Pelodiscus sinensis: one gene and its partner. The protein of the gene in region 2 purifies or fractionates together with the protein of the main gene of each other region. This does not show direct contact. Links are inferred from orthologs where the notes say so. Each region holds a gene or a part of one and is shown on either strand. Other genes may lie near its edges.

The links. The genes of interacting proteins can lie anywhere in the genome.
Region 1: the proteins of ARPC1A (region 2) and ARPC5 fractionate together in Homo sapiens (co-fractionation; 8 studies listed by BioGRID and IntAct, counting the BioPlex papers as one, with this or other methods). This does not show direct contact. The link is inferred for Pelodiscus sinensis from reciprocal best matches to the Homo sapiens genes ARPC1A and ARPC5.

Annotation. Positions count from the first base shown.
Region 1 is NC_134719.1:57,209,194-57,220,172, reverse strand, and holds the start of ARPC5 (actin-related protein 2/3 complex subunit 5), read right to left. Parts: upstream 4,659-10,979; 5' UTR 4,562-4,658; coding exon 4,419-4,561; intron 2,296-4,418; coding exon 2,223-2,295; intron 912-2,222; coding exon 735-911; intron 138-734; coding exon 75-137; 3' UTR 1-74. UniProt on the Homo sapiens protein: Component of the Arp2/3 complex, a multiprotein complex that mediates actin polymerization upon stimulation by nucleation-promoting factor (NPF).
Region 2 is NC_134726.1:31,935,985-31,946,674, forward strand, and holds the start of ARPC1A (actin-related protein 2/3 complex subunit 1A), read left to right. Parts: upstream 1-6,399; 5' UTR 6,400-6,423; intron 6,424-6,993; exon of another isoform or gene 6,994-7,179; intron 7,180-8,057; exon of another isoform or gene 8,058-8,228; intron 8,229-8,479; exon of another isoform or gene 8,480-8,644; intron 8,645-10,690. UniProt on the Homo sapiens protein: Probably functions as a component of the Arp2/3 complex which is involved in regulation of actin polymerization and together with an activating nucleation-promoting factor (NPF) mediates the formation of branched actin networks.

The sequences.
Region 1 (10,979 bases), on a different chromosome or scaffold from region 2:
AGTGGCATTTGGTTGTTTTGGTCATTGTACCAGCATTTTGCACACCCACAGCAAGCAGTCACTGGCTGTTGGACTTAAACCGTTTTTCTGGCAGTCAAGACACGGACAATGGACCCTACACCTCCAGCAGCGAGAGCCTGGAGGGAGAGAGGAGGAGGAAAGAAAAAAAAGAGAAGTAATAGTTAATACAAGCCATGATAACCACAGATGGAAACAGTTACTACCTGGACTTCAGTGAGTTTCATCTGAACACTGCAGTGTGCTCTATAGATACTAAAGATCAGCTTTCTTCAATCAGGAAGCATTACTATATTCATTTTATATAGGGAAATGGACCGAAGCATTAGATAATTTGCATAAGTCAGTCACTGGGGGTATTAGGAGTCTTGGGTTCTATTCCTAGCTACGTTCCCTGTTTTAACCTTTAGATTAGTGTGCTCTTGTACGGAGACAGTATAGCTTTTAGGAAATGTACAATGGATCATTTTCATTCGTATCTAATACACAATAAAACTTCATCTCTAGAGTTTATGTGAATCAATATATAATAGGAAGTGTGCATTAATTTCACATGGTTCTCTAGGGTACCATGTCCTTTCCACCCCAACTGTTGTAATATGAATAATAGACTTAAGGGAAAGAAGGATGATTCCTATTGGACTCAAGACAGAATCCTGGATGCCAGAGTCTCTGTCCATGCAATTATCCAGCCAAAAGCAACAGACTTCACACACCTTTTCATGCCACTGCAATAACACAGCACTGCTGTTGTCAGAGGGGCTCTCAAACCCCTTGTAGATGTATTTCATTAGCAGATCAACTCCATTCTTGTCCAGAGACTGTACTGCCTTTTCAATATCATTGGCTTTGAATGAGATGAGGACTTTTAGGACGATGCTTTCTGCACGATCCTGTAAACAAGGGGAAAAGTCATAACTTGGAATAACATGACAGACAGCCAAATGTTAATGATCTCCCAGGAGGTAAAGCTTTATTCTTAATTCAAAAAGCCAAGGCAGCTCGAACACATACCAAGTTGTCAAGCATACTGTTCAACAGACATTCACCTCTGCCCTACGACAGTATGACCTCCATGGACTTTGCTATAGCCATTTAATTCTAAATAAATTTCAATTTACAGTTAACATATGCAATTAATTTGAAATCAAGTTTTAGATAAATTAAAGGGCAGCACATCGCCACTGAGGTGAAAGAAGCTAGTCTCAAACAAGAGACTCATTCTCGTCACTGCATTTGTAACAAGTTTGTTCTAGGTTTCTATCTTTGCTTATTAAGACTAGCTTTTGTTTGCAGGACTCCACCCATAGCATAAGGGTGGTACTGAACTTTCTCTCTTGACTGGACAGTTCAAAAGTCGTCGGAAATTACAGGTCTGATTGGCTTCCCTCTCACCAACTAAGCAACCTCTTATTTTTACATTGTCTAGATGGACAGCACTTCTGTGGGCCAAAAGAGATCTTAAAGGAGAAGTATTTCTACTGAGCACGGAGTTCTGTTCAGCTGAGATCTATTTTTACTCTGCATTATCTTTCTCTTCCCTCACTGAGTACTGTATTATAACTAAGGAAGTTAAAATGTGTTTATTTAGGTAAATGTATAACCTCTGAACACTTCAGCAGTTACATGCAGGGGGAGGTGGCTGCCATCTGGACCCCTCTTCCCTCCTCCCTGCCAGAGAGGAAGCAGCACCAGGCCTGGGGTGAGGGGAAGCATGGAGGGGAAGTTGGCTCCCTGGGAGCTGGTACGCATGGGAAGCCAGCTTAAAAATTCCTTGTTAGCTAGAACTATGGACTGGACACAGCCAGTCAGTGCTTACTAGTCTGAGGTGATTTTTTTGGTAAGTTCACGGGCCATGTATCGCTTTAAGTCCAAGATACGTTACAAAAAAACCTTGGATTTATAGCAAAACAACTTGAAGCAGGGAATTCCCCCTCCCCCTCCAGCTGACTTTCATTTGTGCATTTTTTTTTTTGCACAACTGAAGAGCGGGGAAATGAGAGGACTAATCATGCCTCTGTTCCTACAAGCTTAAATGACTAGTGCAGAATGGATGTGTATGAGGGATGCCCTGTACTTGGGCTGAGTATACAGGAAGAGCTTAATCACCTCAGAGAGGAACAGTGAGCAATCTGTAGAAGTCTTAGGGAATTAGGAAAGAATTTACAGCATGGCACATGAATGTGAGTTATTAACTACTTCACCTTTACTGCTTGGTTCTTGGTATTGATTGGAGGATTCTTTAGGGCTGCCTGCAATGCAGCCATCATGTTTCCTGTAAACATGAGTTAAGGAAAGATGGGGAAACAAGGACATAGAAAGCAGCAGAGATAGTCACAATAGAGTGGGATTCACAAGTAACCTGTTTCTTACTGGGAATATCAAGCATGGATTTGTGGAGAGAATATTTTCCATACTGTTGCACCTACTGAAGTGTTCAAAGTAGCAAGTATTACCCAGTCATTTAAAGCAATGGGATCAATACTAAGGTGGTACAGTTGTCAGCATCAGAGTGCACCAAATCACACAACAAAGATCCAAATATAAATAATTCTAAGTTGACCCCTTTTATCTTCAAACTCCACACAGATTGGCAAAATATCATGCAACAAGTTATAACATGGCTGTTTGACACACACACACACACGAAAAGAAGATGTGATTGCTGAAACAAGCTGGTGAATGAGAACATACTTTGTACATACATCGGAAAAATATCATCAGTTAGGGCCTCAGATTGACCTTTCCTTTCCTGTTGATGTTCAATCTATCAGTCAATTCATCACACTGTAGTTGGTTATGATTCAGAAGAGTTTTCTATTAAGATTCTTATACTGCATCATCTAGAAACCTCCCAGTAGTGCATTAAGTGACACAACTAATGGGTATCACCAGGGCTCGCCGAACTGCGGCGAGCCCTGCTTGCCAGCTGCGCTGTCTGGTGATCTGCACATGGGCCTTCCAGGTTACAGTCTACTCACCATGGGCGAGTAGATTGTATTATTTGTCGAGCCCTGGGTATCAGAGGGGAGTACTCAACTTTGGAAGCCCCAGGGGCCACAATGATACTTACAGCACATGCTAAGGGCTGCAACTTAAGCGTGATTGCGTATACATGCAAATTTATATGCAAATAGCTTCTTTCACACTGACGGGCATGAATACAAAGATTAAGGCAAGACTACATAACACGCAGGTCCCATTTAAGTCAGTTCAGGTGAATATTGCATTTTATTAATATCAGCAGATTTTCACCCATACGACAGCACTTTTAATGAACAATGAGAGTCCAGGAATTTAACTACTAACACATATCAACAGAAGACCATTATATGGAGTTGCTGTTGTGGAGCATGTTCCTAACGGAAGCCCTGTTCAAAGGACCCGCAACGCTGAGCGCAAACAAACGGGCTGCATGCAGCCTACGGGGCGTGTGCCTTGAGTAGCCCTGTTATAGAACAATGAGATCCCAAGACTGCCTCCATTATTGTCATGAACTAGAACAAAACATGCTCTAGAAACACAGCTAATTCAGGCTTCCGGCAGATTGTACAGAAAAGGATACTAAGCAGCTCCCATTTGAATTTTCTTAAAGGGTCTTATGGTTTTGAGCAAACATTTCCCTTTTGTTTTTTTTCCCCTCCAGGTTTTTCCCCTCACCTCAAATTTGAAACCATAAAACCCACTTACAAGCTAACCTTATCAAGCGCAGCCTCACCCAGAAAGGGCACATCTGAAGCTAAAGGCACTAATATGTGGAAGTAAAAAGCAACTAGATTATCACAGACTAGGTGCAATTATTCCCATAAAAGGAAAACTTCACAGAGAACACACTTCCTCCAACTCTGCAGTGCAAGAGGGGTTTGGGGGCAGGGCTCTTTCGCTGGCCCTCCCTCCTGCTCTCGTGAGGTCAGACAGGACCACATCCTCCAGCGCATGCATGCCCATGAAAACTGGGAACCAAAGAGCTGGCGGATATGAACTTACATACAGGTCTAACGGTCTCTCTGGGCAGCAGGGCGCTCACCCCAGGGCCTAGACACAGGCAGGCCGGGGAATTGAAGGCTGTTTGTAACAAGTTGCCTAGACGGGCCTGGGGGTGAGGACCGAGCACCCCTGGGCTGTCAGCGCCCCCCAGCCCTGCACGTCACTCTCTGGGGCCGGGCGGGCCGGCCCCGCTCGCAGCCTGCTCCCGGGGGCGCAGCTAAGAGGCAGGGCTGCGGGACGCGGCGGGGGCACGGAGGAGGCCGCCCCTGTCCACGCCGCAGAGCCCCGGCAGGCTCAGGGCCGGGGGCGCAGCGTCCCGCCTGTGCCCTCGGGTCCCCCGGGCTCGCGACAGGGCTGGGCGCCCCTCCCCCGTCCAGGCCGGGACTCTTTCCCCGGCGCCCGCGGAAGGATATTGCCGCAGGCAGGAGTCCACCTCGCCCTCGTCGGGCCCGGCCTGGCCGTCGCCTCCCTCCTCCTCGTCCACGAACTTGTTCTCGTCGTACTCGTCCACGTCCACCCGGCGGAAGCGCGCAGACGACACCGTGTTCTTCGCCATCGCCCCGGAACCTGCCGGCGCCTCCCGCCCGCTCCCCTCCGCAGGGCGGTGCCCGCCCCCTGCTGCCCGCAGCAAGCAGCAGCGCGCATGCGCAGCGCACAGCGCTCCTTCCGCCTCTCACTTCCGATCATGCGCACTAGGAAAAAGTCGCTCGAGCGACTTTCTCTTCCTACGGTTTAGCCGCTCGCGCTTGACACTCGTGGGTGAGCGCATGCGCCTCGCAATGCCGCCTCTCTCTTTTTTTTTTTTTTTTTTTTAAACGCACGCGCACTTTAAAACCGCACCCCTTCTTCTCTGCGCATGCGATCTGCACGGACTTCCTTTTTCCTCTGCGGCAGCCGGCGGGCCCTTGAGCGCAGACGCAGAACAGGCAAGTGGGCGGAGGAAGGCAGGGTCGGGGAGGAGCAGGTGAGTTGTTGCGATTGGTCGGCAGGGGGTGGTCACGTGCTCTCCTGGGCCGAAGGGGGCCCGTTTCCATGGGAGCGGCCTCCCGTCGCTAACGGGCGCTCGCAGTAGGGTGGGTCGTGGCGGGCGGGGTGTGAAGCGCCGCTACCGGCCCCGCCGCGCTCGGCTGAGTCGCTGCCCCACACGTGGGTGTGAGGCGCGGGGACGCGCCGGGAGCCCCCTGCCCCCCTCCGTGCTCAGGGGCGAGCGCGCCGCCCCCCAGGTCTGTCTCCCAGCGCCGGTCAGTGGGGCTCCCGGCCCGAGCGCTTCCCCTGCGGACTCCCCGCCTAGCCCCCGGGAGCAGGCCTCGCGCTCGCAGACCCGTTTTCTAGATGGGGAAACTGAGGCACAGAGGCTCAACCGTTGAGCGCTGCCCCATGTCTCTGGTTGCCGCGGTTTCTCCAGGTGGGCAGGTTTCAGTGTCACTCGTCTCCTTTCGGTGCGGGCACGCTCAGCCTCGCTGGCAAGCTCACCCACCGTGCCCCAGACCAGGCTCATAAATAAATTAGGTGCCCACAAGAAGGGGCCCCTTTGGAAATGTGGGTGGTAGTGAGTGGGTCGTGGTGAATCAGTGGTAGAACTGAGACTAAAACCCAAGCATCTGGACTCCCGGTTCCTGCTTTTTTCTGCAAATAGTAATCCCCGTCTTTATATTGCTATAAACATCTTTAAATGATCTTTGAGGCCTATGAAGATCAGATTGAATTGAAGTATAAATTATATTAGTATTGTATGTAAAATAGACATTAGTAAATGTGAGTAAAAAATCTGAGTTTACAAAAAGTATTTTGCAGAATCTAATACGAATCATGATACTTGCATAATACTCAAAACATACATTGTTTTAGCAGATTAAACGTTGTCCCGTGGTACTGGGAATCCAAACGCAAAAGCATTAGGTTAATGCTATACAAGGAGAAAGTGAAATGGACTTTTACAGTGCAAGCTGAGGAAGTACAGAGAGTGAAGTAATATAGAAATAGTGAAAAGTACATTTTAAAAAAAACCCTCGATATTAATAACATAAGAACGGTGAGACTGAGTCAGACCCAAGGTCCATCTGTCTCAGTATTCTGTCTTCTGACTGTGGCCAATGCCAAGTGTCCCAGAGGGCATGAACAGAACACGTAATCATCAAGTGATTTCTCCCCTGTCACTCATTCCCAGCTTCTGATAAACAGGCTCAGTGCACTATTTCTGTCCACCCTGGCTAATAGCCAAAACTAGACTTATCCCCCATGAATTTATCTAGTTCTTTTTTAAACCCTGTTAAACTCCTGGTCTTCACAACATCTAGCAAGGAGTACCACAGGTTGACTGCATTATGTGAAGAAACACTTCCTTTTGTTTGTTTTAAATCTGTCAGTTTAATTCAGTGACCTTTCTTGCATTATGGGAGCAAGTGCATAATTTTTCCTTATCTACTTTCTCCACACTGGTCATGATTTTATAAAACTTTATCATATCCCAATTTAGTCTTCTCTTTTCTAAGCTTAGTCTTCCTTTTCCAGTCTTTTTAATCTCTCCTCATATGGCAGCCATTGGCAACCAAAATGATAAGGGGCTTACCTTTTCTGAACTTTTTCCAATGCCAATATATAAAAAAATCTTTCAAAATATTTTATCACATGTTCCCTTAACTGTATTTTGTCATGTTTTAAAAATACAATTAAGTGATGTCAGTGGGAGTTGAAGTAGGCCCCGGAGCACTTAACGTTGTTAAGATATAGAAGCAAGGAGTTCTACGGATGTAAGCAAGTAGTTGACTAGTTGAGTAACAGATAAGCCTAGGCTTATTGGTTAATTTAGTTGACTACTTGCTTCTTCCCCCTTGCTGCCTTTTTGAGGGTCTGTCTACACTTTCACCCTCTTTTGAGAGAGGGATGCAAATGCAGCTGAGCGAAATTGCAAATGAAGCGTGGATTTGAATTTCCCATGCTTCATTTGCATTATCGCAGTCTGCCGCTATTTTGAATTACCCTATTTTGAAATAACAAACGCTGTGTAGACGTGATTATTTCGGGAGAAAACCCTTCTTCTGAAATAACCCTTATTCCTCATACAGCGAGGTTTACCGGTTATTTTGTTCTGGCCGTGCAGGCAACCAAGCTCATTCTCATCTCCCACTAAGTCTGGGACCTACTCCTGCTGCAGCTTTGCCATTTTAGGGTATGTCTAAACTACATCCTTTTTATCGAAAAAGGGATGCAGTTTAGACATAGCCTCAATGTACTAAGAGCCAAGCGGATAAGCAGCCCGGCTCTTCCTGCATCTAAAATGCAGAGCTGCAGTGGGGGTAGGTTCCAGACCTGGCTTAAACCGGGACTGAGCTGGGCTGCCTGCCCACCTGGCTCTTAGTACATTTAAACTGCAGAGCCACAGAGGGGGTAGGTCCCAGATCTGGTGCAAGCTGGAACTGGGCCGAGCTGCCTTTCTTTATTAGCTAATCAAGTAGTTGATAAAAATTCTGTCCACTACTTGATTAGCCATTAACCGCATCTTACCATCCTTAGGGAGTTCTGATACTGAGACCCTAACCCTTCCCAGACTACGGAACATGCTTGACTTCATTCAAGTATATTGTACAACTGAAGTGAAAGTACAGTAAAACTCCGGTGGTCCGGCATCCAGTGGTCCGGTATGCCTGATGGTCCGGCACCAACTGCAACCCGGAAGTGCTCTGGCAGTTGCTTCAAGTTGTTAGAGTAATTGATTAACTGCGGCAGGATCCACAGCCGACACGCAGTTAATGTAACTTTCCTCTCTACTGCCGGGAGGAGGGGGGGGGGTAGGGGTCGGTGGGGGAGGAGGAGGGGGCGAGGGTGTGCCAAAGCAGCCGCATTCAGGACGTTCTGGTCAGTTACAGTCACTCCGGCTGGATCCACAGCCAACACGCTGTTAATGTAACTTTCCTCTCTACTGCTGGGAGGGGGGAGGATGGGGGGGGGGCAGGGGTCCCTCTCCCACCGACCCCTACCTTCCCCTGCCCCCCCCTCCTCCCGGCAGTAGAGAGGAAAGTTACATTAACTGCGTGTCGGCTGTGGATCCAGCCGGAGTGACTGTAACTGACCAGAACGTCCTGAATGCGGCTGCCTGCCTGTCACCGCCTCTCCTCTCCCACCACTCGCAGGCTCTGCCTCCCTGCAGCAGGAGGGAGGGTTTGGCACACCCCCGCCCCCTCCCCCGCTTCCCCTCTGACGAGACCCGCCCCTGCCAGAGTACCTCCTGATAGTCCGGCATTTCTGATAATCCGGCACCACCTGGGTCCCAAGGGTGCCGGATTATCGGAAGTCTACTGTACTCAGCAACTTGCAGTATCAAGCATCAGAGGGGATAGTGTGCATTTCTTGGATACAGAATTTGTGTTGCTATGTTGCATGGAAAAGTGAGAAGCTAAGTGGAGTTACCAACTTTTCTTTAGTTGCAGTATTTTATAACATTAAATATTAATAACAAATAATTGTATAGTGCTTTCAGTATTGTAATAATTTAAGCTTCATACTGTATATAATTTCAGCACTACCTTTTCAAACTTTATATAAAAGTTTCATATAATTCTGTTATATTTTTAAATATAACTTAAAAATCATACTATGTGAACTTCTGGGAGGTGAGAGGTAGCAGCCTTGGAGGGTGAAGGCTTTTTTATTCACAGGATCGGTACTGAGAGCATAGTATTTCCCAGGTTATGCCCACTCTTAGCTGAAGGAATCATTTCTGCAGATCCAGGTAGAGTTTGGGCCATATTGTCCATTTCATCTTTGCCATATGCTGATGCTTCTAATAAAGATATTAATTATGCTGGTGTCTTGTATAATGTGGATATCTCTCTGGTGAAAATCGGATTGAGACCCGTCAATTCCATTTTTTGTACATCACTAAAAGTCATTAGTGGGTCCTGAATTTTCATCATTACTGGCCTAGTTTGGATTTAAATGAGTATTCAAAAGGTAAAAGTTTCCAGATCCACAACATCAGTTTTCTGACCCATCTAGACCCCCTGCTTGTATATTAACTTTCGTAAGAGATGCCTTTACTTCTTTTCCCCCCTTTGATATCTGTAGTCTTACTACTTAAAAGTCGTTCAGTGATTTCTACCATCTGAATCGGTCTTCCATGGGAAAAGGTTTGTGAATGACTGGTATCATTAGATAACCCCTTAGACATTTTTAAATGCCTTACAATATTGTTAGGTTTGAGATCTGAATATTGCCCTCCAAAGGGCAGAAACTTGCTTGCAAAAGGTACCAAATGGCTGTGAGTCAGTCATAAGTGGTGGCAATCTGCCATCCATCATTGCTGAAGGTGGGTGAGCAAAATAATATTTGCTGCAAATTCTACCGATCTTTTTGATTTTCATATATGTTGCCTGGGGAGATGCTTTCATGAAATAAGATTTCATTCCTGTTATGTTGTTAATTGTATGTGAATTTTGATGATCAGCTAACGCTCTTGCAGGTAAAACTGGATAGTAAAGGGTTGCTTCTGGCATACCACTCACAAAATTGCAAAGGAGGGAATGTCAGATCCTACCACATAATGGGTTCAGAGTCACATAAGGCCATAAGCTGGCAAGGCTTCGTAAAGCTTCACAGTTCCATATGGACACAGGGAAATCATCCTCAGTGTAATAAAGCTGAGAGAAATAAATACAGAAGATAATGTCTCGGTACTTTGTCAAGAAGTTGTAGATCTTGCTTATGCAGCAGTGCTCAGCCTCATTACAAGGAGAATAGTTTGAATAAAGAATTATATACCCAATGCCGTCATAATCGTATGTAACTACATGCAGATAACCACACATCTCAAACAACATAGACTCTGGATGGATGTTACACTTAAGGCAGTTGGTTGCATGGCCCTTTTGGACTAGTGTCCCAGTAGGGTTGCCAGATGGTTGAAACAAAAATTCTGAACACTCTTCTCCCCCCCCCCCCCCCAAAAAAAAAAACCACCAGGAAAAAATTCTGTTGAAGGGGGGGAAAAAGGGAGGGGGAGAGACCAAAGTAGTTGAGCAAAAAATAAAATAAAATAAAACGGCATTAAAACAGCATGTCCCCTTTAAGAGTGAGTGCAGGGATAGGAACAGGGGAGGAGTTGAGCACTAAGACCCAGTGGAAGCATTGCTTCCCCTTGGTCGGCAGTCATTTTGTGCAGGCAGCCTTGTGGAACCAGGTAAGCATGGGGACTGGGGTCGGGGGGGGGGGGGGGGGCTGGGTGTGTTGGGAGCCGGGGAGAGGGGGTGTCGGGGGGGGGGGGAAGGCCAGGTGCTGAGTGTTTGTAGGGTTGCCAGGTGCCCAGCATTTTTGCATCCTGGCCAGGGAAAAAATCAGAAAATACTGGACTGTTCAGGTGAATACTGGACACCTGGTAACCCTATGTCCCAGAGAAGCTCCTCAGTTCATAGAATATAAGATGTTTGTTTTGAGGACTCAGTAGCCCATATGGGAATCCAAAGGCCATATGAAATTCCACATAAGGGACTCTTTCTTCTTCACCTGTCCGTATATGATAGGGGCATTTAGCACAGCTCTGTGTCTGCCAGTAGTAGGACTTTACTGCTGTTCCTTGATTTGTCAGATATTCCTGGAAAAAAGTTTGCCTTTCTGGGTTCATATTTCTGTAATTAACAATCCTGAAAGAAGAAAAAAGAAACTCATAATTTATCCCTCCCATTTCCTTTACATGTACACTGCTAATATAATGCATATTCTCCTCTGAATATACTGCTGCTCAAGTAGAGACTAGAAAGCTTTGTGGATGGCAGTCTCAAATTAAGAGAGGTAAAGTTGGAAGCATAAGATCCAAGATTGTCCTTGATTTTGTGGGCCTGCCTTCTTTGTTTAAAAAAAAACCCAAAACATAACAGAAAATGTCTCTACCTGCTACTACCCCCGTCCCATAAAAGTGCAAAGTATGTAATAAAAGCATTGCATACTGTTCAGAAATTGAATCACTAGGTTTTCCATATACA
Region 2 (10,690 bases):
TAGCAACAAGACTGTGTGAACACAATGCTAAAAGCTGCATAGTGGTGTTGTAGTACACATCATATTGTGACATCAAGAAAAAGGCCCAGACAATCAAAATGTGGCTTTGGACAATCAGTGTCACCAACACAGACACTACTATTTACTAGCACACACTCTCCTGAGGTGGAAAAAACACATTGAATTGTGTGTATCAGATTCTCCTTACAATAGTTTCAAATGTGTGATGCTTGGGATCCAAGATTCGTGTAGCTAAGGGAGGCAGGATCAAAAGTGTCTGAGCACATGTAGATACAGCTCCAGTAGCACTACTGGGTGGGACAGTGACAGTTCCAAGAAACATTTGGAGGAAGATTCGTCAAGAACAAATCAATGCCTAACCAACCCAATTGCTTCTTTGATAAGGTTACTGATCTAGTGGATGAGGGGGAAGCTGTGGACATGATATACCTGGAATTTAGAAAGGCTTTTTAACACAGTTCCATATGTCATTCTCATAAGCAAACAGGAAAATGTGATTTAGATGAAATTACAGTAAGATGGATGCACAACTTCTTTTAAAAACCCTATTCAAAGAGCATTTATCAGTGTAGTCGCTGATAATGGAGAGTATATTTAGTAGGGTTCAGTAGGCATCTGTCATGGGTCTAGTACTAAACAACCTTTGGTTAATGATTTGGATAATGAACTGGATGGAGACTATGTTCATAAAATTTGCAGATGACACAAGGCAGGAGGGGTTGCAAGCACTTTGGAGGACAGGATTACAATTCAAACCGAGTTAGACATATTGGAGAATTGGTCTGAAATCCACAAGATGAAATTCAATAAAAATAAGTGCAAAATTCTTCACTAATGAAGGAAAAATCACATGCACAGCTACAAAATGGGAAATTACTGGTGAGGCAATGGAACTGCTGAAAATTATCTGGGACTAATTACAGGATCACAAACTGAATTTGAGCCTAGAGTGTGATAATCTTGGAAAAATAATATTCTTGGGTGTTGTAACTAGGGATGTAAAAACCACCCAGAATAGTTTAACTAGTTAAATGGTTTGTTTAACCAGTCAACCACAAGCTGCGGGTGAAGGGAGCTGCTCTGGGCCATGCTCGCTGCAGCCATGGCTGGCATGGGCTGCTCCTTCCCCACCACAGCTGCAAGTGGCAGGGACTGCCATAGCTCCACCATGGATGACAGGAGCTGCTCCAGGCCCGCAACGTATCATGGCCCTGCTGACTGGGCTGTCATGTGGGGGAAGCTCTGGCTAACTGGTTAGCTGGTAAAGATGCTGGTAAGGCATATGTTGACCGGTTACCTGGTTAACCTTTCATCCCTAGGGCTGTGTCTACACTGGCATGAATTTCCGGAAATGCTTAAAACGGAATACTATTCCGTTTTCAGTTTTTCCGGAAAAGGAGCGTCTACATTGGCAGGCTGCTTTTCCGGAAAAGCCCTTTTTCCGGAAAAGCGTCTGTGGCCAATGTAGACGCGCTTTTCCAGAAAAGAGAGCCGATCGCCATTTTCGCGATCGGGGCTTTTTTCCGGAAAAGACTACTGGTCTGTCTACACTGGCCCTTTTCCGGAACAGTGTTCCGGAAAAAGGACTTATGCTCGATTGGGAGCAGAATAGTTTTTCCGGAATAGTGGCTGATTTTGTACAGTAGAGCATCATTGCTTTTCCGGAAATTCAAGGGCCAGTGTAGACAGCTCGCAGCTTATTCCGGAAAAGCGGCTGATTTTCCGGAATAAGTGGCCCAGTGTAGACACAGCCTAGCTGTAACAGGTGTGAACTTGTATGTAAGACACAAGAAATACCTGGCATTTATGCATCTCCTCATTTAGTTGTCATCATCCTGAAGTTCTTGCCTATTAAAATGCATATATCCCAGAATCTCAGAGCTGGCATTTCACCAATTTGCACAAGGCAGGCAGAGTAAGTGCCCCTGCTTAGAGGCAAGAGATCAATGGTCGCTGGGTTTGGAGTTGGTAAATCTGAGCAAGCTCCCAGGTAAGCTGTCTGACTCAGACAGGCTTGGCACAGGTGCCCCTACATTCAACCCAGATTGCTTCCAACCCAAGGCTCTGCCACTGAGGTCATCTCAGCCCCTCTGAGTCTAGGGGGGCACAGAGCCAGAGCCATTATCTCGGGGGAGGGGGGAGCCTAGATGCAGACTGACCAAAGCCAGCCTAAGTGGGCTTTGCAGGCCCCAGTTCGGGCCTAGTTGGCCCAATGTAACCCCGTCCCCTAGTCATTCCCACCCTGCCTCACAGGCTGGACTATACAAGGACCAGCTGATGTCAAACCATTGCATGTCCCAGGACCCACCTTTTATTGGTTGCTGGTGAGAAGGGGCGGTGCTTGTTGAGGCACCTGAACTACAAATAGCAGCAGCCGCATCCCCTACTCCCCTTTCCTCTGTGGCTTGGTGTGGGAGGTGAGTGTGGTGGAAGATGGGCCCCAAGCTGCTTCAGGTGCTGGGGGTGGGTCCTCCTCATGGGAGCCAAGAGGAGAAGTGAGGATTGAGGTGTCCTGGCGAGGCTGGGGACAAGCCTTTTGCTCTGGTGGTGAGGGGATGGATCAGGTGGGTCTGAGGTGTCCTGCTTGGGGTGGAAGGTGGCAGCCATGGCGGGAGGGGTCTGACCTGCCAGTGCCGGCTGCAGTGATGATTCTCCTTACACATTAGAACTTCTGACGTGGATGAAGTGAAGCTGAGTCTGAGCCCCCAGTGTCAGGTCCCACGGGCCCACTTTGCCCACAGCCTGTTTCTGCCCTGTGGGGCCTGGCCCCATCCCCACACATGCATCAGGCCCACGCACTGGGGCTGCAAACCTCACCAGACTCCTCCTCTTCGCAGGTACCTCAGGAGCCAAGTGGCGTCCTGCTGCAGTCCCTGGAGAGCTCCCGCCTGAAGCGGCCTAGTGCCCACTGACCTGCACTTATAAACAGCAACAAAATGTCTGAGCTGGTTTCCTTGCTGAGCTGCGTGGCGCTGCCTTTGAGTGGGTGCAGTGTCCCATTGACAGCTGCACGGGCTAAGCAGCGGTGCAAGCAGAAAAGCTTGTTTGTAACTGGTGTTTCTTGGCTAAACCCAGGAACATCAGGATGGGACTGGGGCGATGCTGAGAGCTCACTTGAAGATCATCCTTAAACTGACCCAGTCGGCCCTGCTGGGTGCAGGAGTGGGCTGAAGGTAGGGGAGAGGGTGGCCTAATGGATAAGGCATCAGCTGAAGGTCCTATTTGGAAATCATGGGAGGGTGGGCAAAGCCCGCCCACCTTCTAAAAGCCCCTCCCCAGCCTTACGGGAGGGACACTGGACCCATGTCCAATTAATTGCTTGGGACAAATAATGACAAAAGGGTCAGGGAGTGCGGGCTAAAGGTTCAAAATAAGGGAGCCGGATGGGGACACCGAGCAGAAAACCCCGGACAGCGCCCACTGCTCCTCAAAGCTATCGAAGGAGCCAGTGGATGCCGCCCAGAGGAACTCTGCCCGGATTCGTGAAACCAGGGAGGAACGGAAATAGGCCCCACAGTCGCAGAGAACCCCCTCGTCCAACATCCTGCTCCTGGTATTATAGATGGTGGTCTTTGCTAGGGCCAGGAGCATCAGCTGAAGGTACAGTGGTGAGGTGGGTCCCAGTGATCTAATGGATAGGGCATTAGCTCCTGCAATTGTGGGTTCAAGTCCCACCTGTGTCCCCACACACCCAAAGGCTAGAGCACCACCACCATCTTCCTGCTGGTGAGGAAAGAAAAGCCTTCAGGGGAATGGCAACCTATGGATATGCAACCTGGAGGCTTTCCCCACTGCTCCTGTTAGTCGGTGCTTCCCCCCATCCATAGAACCTGGCCAAGACCCCTGCCAGCTCTTGCACCCTCCATCCTGATCAGACACCCCTACATCCAGCAGGGCTGTCTCAGGACAAGGTGGAGGGCAGCTCCACCTCCTCCAGAAAAGGCAGGGCTGAGGGAAGTCAGTCCTTAGGACTGGCTGAGCTTGGTCCAGCCCCAGCCAGGTAAGGTAATTCACCCCAGAGCCCCTCACATACTTTACTACCGTTCCTTGCCTCTTGCACCCTCCCACACACCCTGAACCCCTCATGGATCCCAAACCAGACTCCAATGTTTCATTTATGCTATTATTCATCATGTCAATTATCAATAATATTAAGTTGTATATTTTCAGGCATTCTTATATGGCTCTTGACCACTTATTCTGAATGTTGATGTAGTTTGGCTCTTTGGTTGGAAAAGTTTGCCTATCCCTGCCTCATCCCCTACCCTTACAGGATTCTGAAAGTCGAGACCCTGCATTCGCAAGATTCTTTCTGCTGCAAGCCCTTTCATTTGGAACAACATAGCACAGTCCTACTCTTCTGTATTCCCACAAAATTACAAACCTTGATAATCATATTTCAGCTGTCCTGCATTTAATATAAACATAGCTGGTGTCGGGTTACAAATTAAGTTGATTACGATGAGCAAAATACCACTCCCTATGCTGAATGTCCCAACAAATCTAAGCAAAGCAGAAGCAAACTGTATTGACGTAGACCAGTGGTCCCCAACCTTTTGAGGCTGCCGGGCGCGTCTGGGGGTGGGGCTGTGCATGAACCATGCACCCAGTGGTGGGGCCGCACCTGTGCCATGTGTCTGGGGCTGACGCCGCGCGCCTGGGGCAGAGGCTGAGCATGCACCACATGCTCGGGGTGCAAGAATGGCTTGGGCCGGCCCTGGTCACTCAATGGGTGCACATAAATGCCCCAGCGGGCGCCATGGCGCCGGCAGGGACCACTGACATAGACCCAGGGTCTCTCCCCGCTTCCAGCTAGCTGTCATGGACGCATTCCTTCAGATCTTACTTATATCAAGACAAGAAGTAATGGGCTTAATCTGCAGCAAAGGAGATTTCAGTTGGGTCTGAGGAAAACCTTCTATCTATAAGGATAGTTACACATGGGAATAGGCTTCCAAAGGTGGTTGTGAAATCCCTGTCACTGGAGCTTTATAAGACCCTGGTAGACAAACACCTGTCAGGGACGGTCTGGGATTCTTAAACCTGCCTCAGCTGGAGGAATGGACTAGATGACCTCTTCAGGGTCCTTTCCAGCCGTAATACGTGTCTATGACTCTGCGCTGGTCAGCATTGCCCTTCAGCAGAGGAGTCAGTTGAAACTAGAGATGGCGATGCCGGGGGAACGATGCTGCAGCCCCGAAAATGCTGGTGCCGGAAACACCCTCGTTGTCCCAAAATGAAGGTGGTGGTAATTAGGGTACGGCTGCACAATGTCAGCTGGGATCCCTCAGCAGAGCCTGGGATAAACCCTGCCACTTGCTAGTTTTTTCCTTCCCCGTCCTCTTCCCTACCAGTCTGCCTTCTGCTTCAAAAATCAAGCCAGCCAAGCCTCTGCAAGGTGGGAGGCAATGAGAGTCCCAAGGCATGTGAGGAATCTTGAGCCCTCATCCTTATTCTGCTCCCTCTCTGCATTATCCTCCCTAATTCTGCCTCCCAACCCTGCAGCAATTACCTGCACTCTCCACCTCCCTACCTGCCACATCAACCTGGGAACTCCATAATGGCTAGATGTCAGCAGGCAGGAGCTGAGAAGGAAGACAGAGAGTCCACCCACCTGCCTGGAGCCATCATCCTTAGTGGCTTGGAGGAGCAAATGCAGCTTGCCTACACCTCTGCTGCAGTTCTAGACAACTACTTACTGTATTTTCTTCACACAACACACAGTCAACCAGTGGAACTCATTGCCAGAGGATGTTGTGAAGAGCAGGACTTTAACAAGGTTCAAAAAAGAGGTAGGTAAATTCATGGAGGATAAGGATAGCCTGAATTTGCACAAATGGTGTCCCCAACCTCTGTTTGTCAGAAGATAAGAATGGGGGACAGGGATTCCCTGTTTTGTTCATTCCCTCTAGAGCACCCGGCATTGGCCAGTGCTGGAAGACAGAATATTGGGCTAGATGGACCATAAGTATGGCCAGTCTTATGTTGTTATGTTTAAAAATGTGAACCAAAGAAGTCTGATTACTCAAATATTGGTTATGAAAGTTGATTTTGATAAATTATTATAACTTATGTGAATGTTGTACTGAAATCTTAAGCAAGTGCATCTTGGAAAAAATCCAGATCTTATTTTTTTTCCTCCCCAAACATGTTGCGTTTCCTTCCCTTTGCCTGAAAGTGACACATTTCAAATGCTGAAGCCTACATTCCACTTCTAAAATAGATACTTTCACCCACGAATGCATGTGTTTAATTATCAGTTTTGCGCAATCCATGTTGTGCACGTGCTGAGACCTGTTTGCATATGCTTATGTAATTCTGACAGGCAGAACCAAGCCTGGGACCTCTAAAGCTTAGTGCATGAGCCTCTACTGAGTGAGCTAAAAGCCAGCTGCCTTTCAGGTAAGGTTGTAGAGTAGACTGAGTCTCTTCGTAAGTGGTCTAGCTGCCTCTAGGTGGGACAGTAGACCACACACATACACATTTGCATTTTGAAACTATGGCCAATCATTTTTTCTTAATACTTAAAAGCAAACAATGTATACAAGGGATGTAAAAGCCCTTTTAACCAGTTAAATGGGATCCCACGGGTGGGGGCCCCTGAAGCCCGGCCAGGCTGGAGCAGCCCTCCCCCTGTGGTGTGTTGGGCCTGGCCAGGATGGAGTAGCCCCTCGCATGCATGGTGTAGCACAGCAGACCTGGCTGGGCTGAAGCAGCCTGACCAAGCCCAGCAAGCCTTGGGCTGCTCCAGCCAAGCAAGGCTGAGACCACTGCAGGCAAGGGGCTGCTCCGTCCAGGCCGGGCCCACTGCGCCATACCAGATGGGGGAAGGGGCTTCTCCAGCCTGTCTGAGCCACCAGTTAACCAGTTACATCTCTAATGTATATTCAGGTTTTCCTGAAAACTTCCCACTGTTGCTCTCACATTAGTAACATTCCACTAATATTAGAGAAGTGTAAATTGATCACTGACCTTTTCGCTACTAAGTCCTCTACTCCCAATTCAGAGATGCTCAGATGTATTGGTGAAACTGCTAGCAATTTATTTGCACTGGAACATGTTGTACCTGCATTCAGCTGGAGTACAGGTGGGAGATTTCCTGAAAACCTTCGTTGTAGACAAGGCCCTAATAGTTTTGCATTCATAGTATCCAAGCTCCTGAAAAACACAGTTGCTCTGTAATATATCTGGTTCAGCTGGTTTCATCCCTCTCCCAGTGAAAATCATTTTGTAAATGTAATACTGTATTTAAATGCAATTTCAGTCCTGTTGCATAATGTGTAGTTGACCTAATTACATATCTTTAATCTGTACAACTAAATGAGTTTTCTAAGCAGTTTTCTAAGGGATAGCATATCACTCTAATCTTCCCATCCCACCACTCAGAGTTGTTCTTTTTGCACTGCAATTTGTTGGCTTTCCAAATGCTGCTTTTTATAAATGTGGTGGTAGTGTTGCCTAGAGAATAGAACACTATTACACTGAGACAGCTCTGCCCACTAAGCTGAACTTGGGCATGTCACTTTAACCGTTCTGTGCCTCAGTTTACCCAGCTGTGCAAAAGGGGTAACAATGGCATTCCAGTTTGATTTACACTAATCCCTAGCTTTTACACAGCTTGGTAGGTCAAAGCCCTTGGCAAAGGAGGTCAGAATTCACACAGCTGCTGGATCAGCCTGTGATCCTGGCCCAAACCTCTGCCTCAAGCCATCACACCTCCCAACCACCACCTTGGAACTGGCTCTGCATTGAACAGTAACCAGTCCGCAGTACGCATGTGCAACTTTCATCTCCAGGACTGACCACTGCACATGTGCAGCTCTCCCCTTCAGGCTAGCGACACTGCGCATGCTCCCTCCTATCTTCCTCCCTTCCCTCCTACCCCCCAGCGCCTTTGCGTAAGGAGAATTCTCGCCTCAACACGCTCCAGTTCTACGCGCAGGCGCAGAGTGCGGGGGGACCCTCCTCCCCACTCCCGGCCCGTGCGCAGGCGTAGTGGCAGGATCTTACCCCGCCCCGATTCTGCGCGCAGGCGCAGAGGTAGGAGCTGCCCGTGGCCAGTGCGCAGACTCCAAGGCCATTTCCTGGATCGCTTGTCAGTGCCGGGCCCCGCCGGCCGCTCCCTCTCCCGCCGCCCGGAGCGGAGTCGCGTTGACTGACCAGAGTCCGCGAGTCCCGCTCCGCTGCCTCCTCCCCTCCCCCCTTAGGTAAGTGCCGGCGCCGCGCTCACCCCGAGCCCTTCCAGGCCCCCTCCCCTCAGCGAGTACCTGGGCCCGCCCACTTGCCTCACGCGGGGGGGGCGACGACCGGACCCCGCCCCCTCCTCCCCATTCTCCTTGCGGCGGGGGGGTTCGACTGTTCCCAACGGCTGCGGGGTGGGGCAGGGCACTGCCGAGCGGCGGGGCTGACCCCTCCCCCCCCCCCCCGCTGTCTCTCCTCCCTCCCCCCCCCCACTCACCGGGGCCGAGGTCTCGGCGCACCTGTGCGGGGAGCCGCGGGGTGCCGGGGCCAGCCCTCCCCAGCGTCGAGGGCGAGCCCCGCGCGCCCGTGGCAGGAGCAGCAGGGGCACAGCCTGAGCGAACAGCTTCTCCTGCTGTAACGCCGCCTGTATCCGGGCGGGAGGGTCGTTAGCCCCGGGAGAGGCCGACTTGCAGGGGCAGTGAGCTGCAGACACCGCCCTTCCAGGAGGGATGCTAGAATCTTTGTCGCCGTGTCACCCCTGAAATTGTCAGTCTTTGCGTCGGGTGGCAGTCGGCTGCCCTGGAGCTGGGGTGCAGAGGGGGAGCCAACCAGCATGTTGCATGTACTGGTTCCCGCCTGCCCCCCCCCTGCACTGCTGCCTCTGATACAGCGACAGCAATGCAGGGTGGCAGGCTGCTCCCTGAGAGCCGGCGTTTAAGCCAGCTCCCCCACAGGAGCCTGCTTGTAGGTCTCATTGGTTAACTGTCTACATCAGTGGTCCCCATCCTTTTCAGGTTGCCGGGTGCCAGGGGGCGTGGCCGTTCGCCCGCCGGGCGCCAGGGGGCGGGGACACTTGCCCGCCCGGGGGCGGCCCCCCCCAGCCGCATGCCCGGGGGCGGGGCCCCCCCCATAGCCACGCACCCGGGGAAGGTGCCCCCCGGCAAGCGCCGCGCGCCCGGGGCCGGTGCTCCCCCCGTAAGCGCCGCGGGGCCGGGGCCGTGGCCAGGGCACGCGCGGCGCCCCCGGGGTGGGGCCAAGGCCGGAGCCGGCCAGGGCACGCGCGGCGCCCCCGGGGCCGGGACCGGCCATGCGTCCGGGGCTGGCACCTGCCAGCCCAGATTGCTCCGCGGGCGCATGTAAAGAGCCCGGCGGGCGCCATGGCTCCCGTGGGCACCGGGTTGGGGACCACGGGTCTACATGATTGCACTTTCCACTTTCACATCCCTACCTTCCAGGTGACTTATGTGATCTGAAAGGAGATTGGCGGGGGTTAAAAAATATTTGTTTGGCACTATATCTGGATTCTCAGGCAGTATTCCTACTCCATGGTTGTTGGGAATAGCCCTGTAGTGTATTTGCTGTCTTAATTAGGGAATGACAGCAGCCTAATACTCTTCACCCTGTTATCTCCCCCCTTCTCCCTCCAAAAAGGAATCTGATACTGTATTAAAAACATAAAATTCCCAATTTTAAATTTCCAGTTGATATTGGAAAGCAAAGATTATTACTCTGCAGTTATATTCAGTAGCTATCTGAGGCCAAGTGCCTAGATAACAAGGTTAACTAGGGTGATATATTTCCTGTGGGGGATTCTCAAATTAGTCTGACAGGCAGGTATTGGTATTAAAAGTATTGGTAATAGGGATGTAAGCGATTAGTAGTCGACTATCCAATAAATATAGTTGCTTCCACTCCCCCTTGCTGCCTCTGTCATAGAAAGGCAGCAAGGGGGGGAACAGGAGCCGGTGCTGGGGGGTGCACCGGTTCCCACTGTGGCTGCCTTTATGAGAGGCAGCAAAGGGGGAGAACAGGAGCCAGTTCTGGGGATGCCACCGGTTCCCCTCAGCGCCATCTCCAGGGTGCCACCTACTCCCCCTTGTTGCCTCTATCAGCTCTGGCTGCCACAAACAGGGGTTGGTGCCAGAGCAGCCTCTATTTGTGACAGCCAGCCTTGTCCACCACGAACGGAGGCTACATCAACACTAGGCCCTGTTTGCAGCAGACAGGGCTGCTGGGCTCAGTGTGAGCCGAGACCGAGCAATACTGGCTTTTGCTGATTGTTGTGCCTCTGCATTTTAAATGTAGTAAGAGCCTGACAGCTCTTACTACATTTAAAATGCAGAGCTACAGCACAGGTGGCTCCTGGAGTCAGCACGAGCCAGGACTGCTCAGTCCCGGCTTGAGCCTGCTCCTGAAGCTACCCCTGCTGTGGCTCTGCAGAGCAGTCCTATCGACTAATTGGATATTCGATAGAATTTGTATCGACTATACAAATAGCTGGATAACCTCATTTTAACATCCTTAATTGGTGGTTGAGAACTGCACTAAACACCTATCAGTAATATCAAAGTGCCAACTTCACTAAAATGTGGATTAGTGTCTTTGTCCTTCAGTGAGCTCTTTGGTGATTAGGAAGAGTATGATTAAAACATTTTATTGAATTGAATTTGTATTGAATTGTTCTTGACTCTCCTATAAGTTGAAAGTT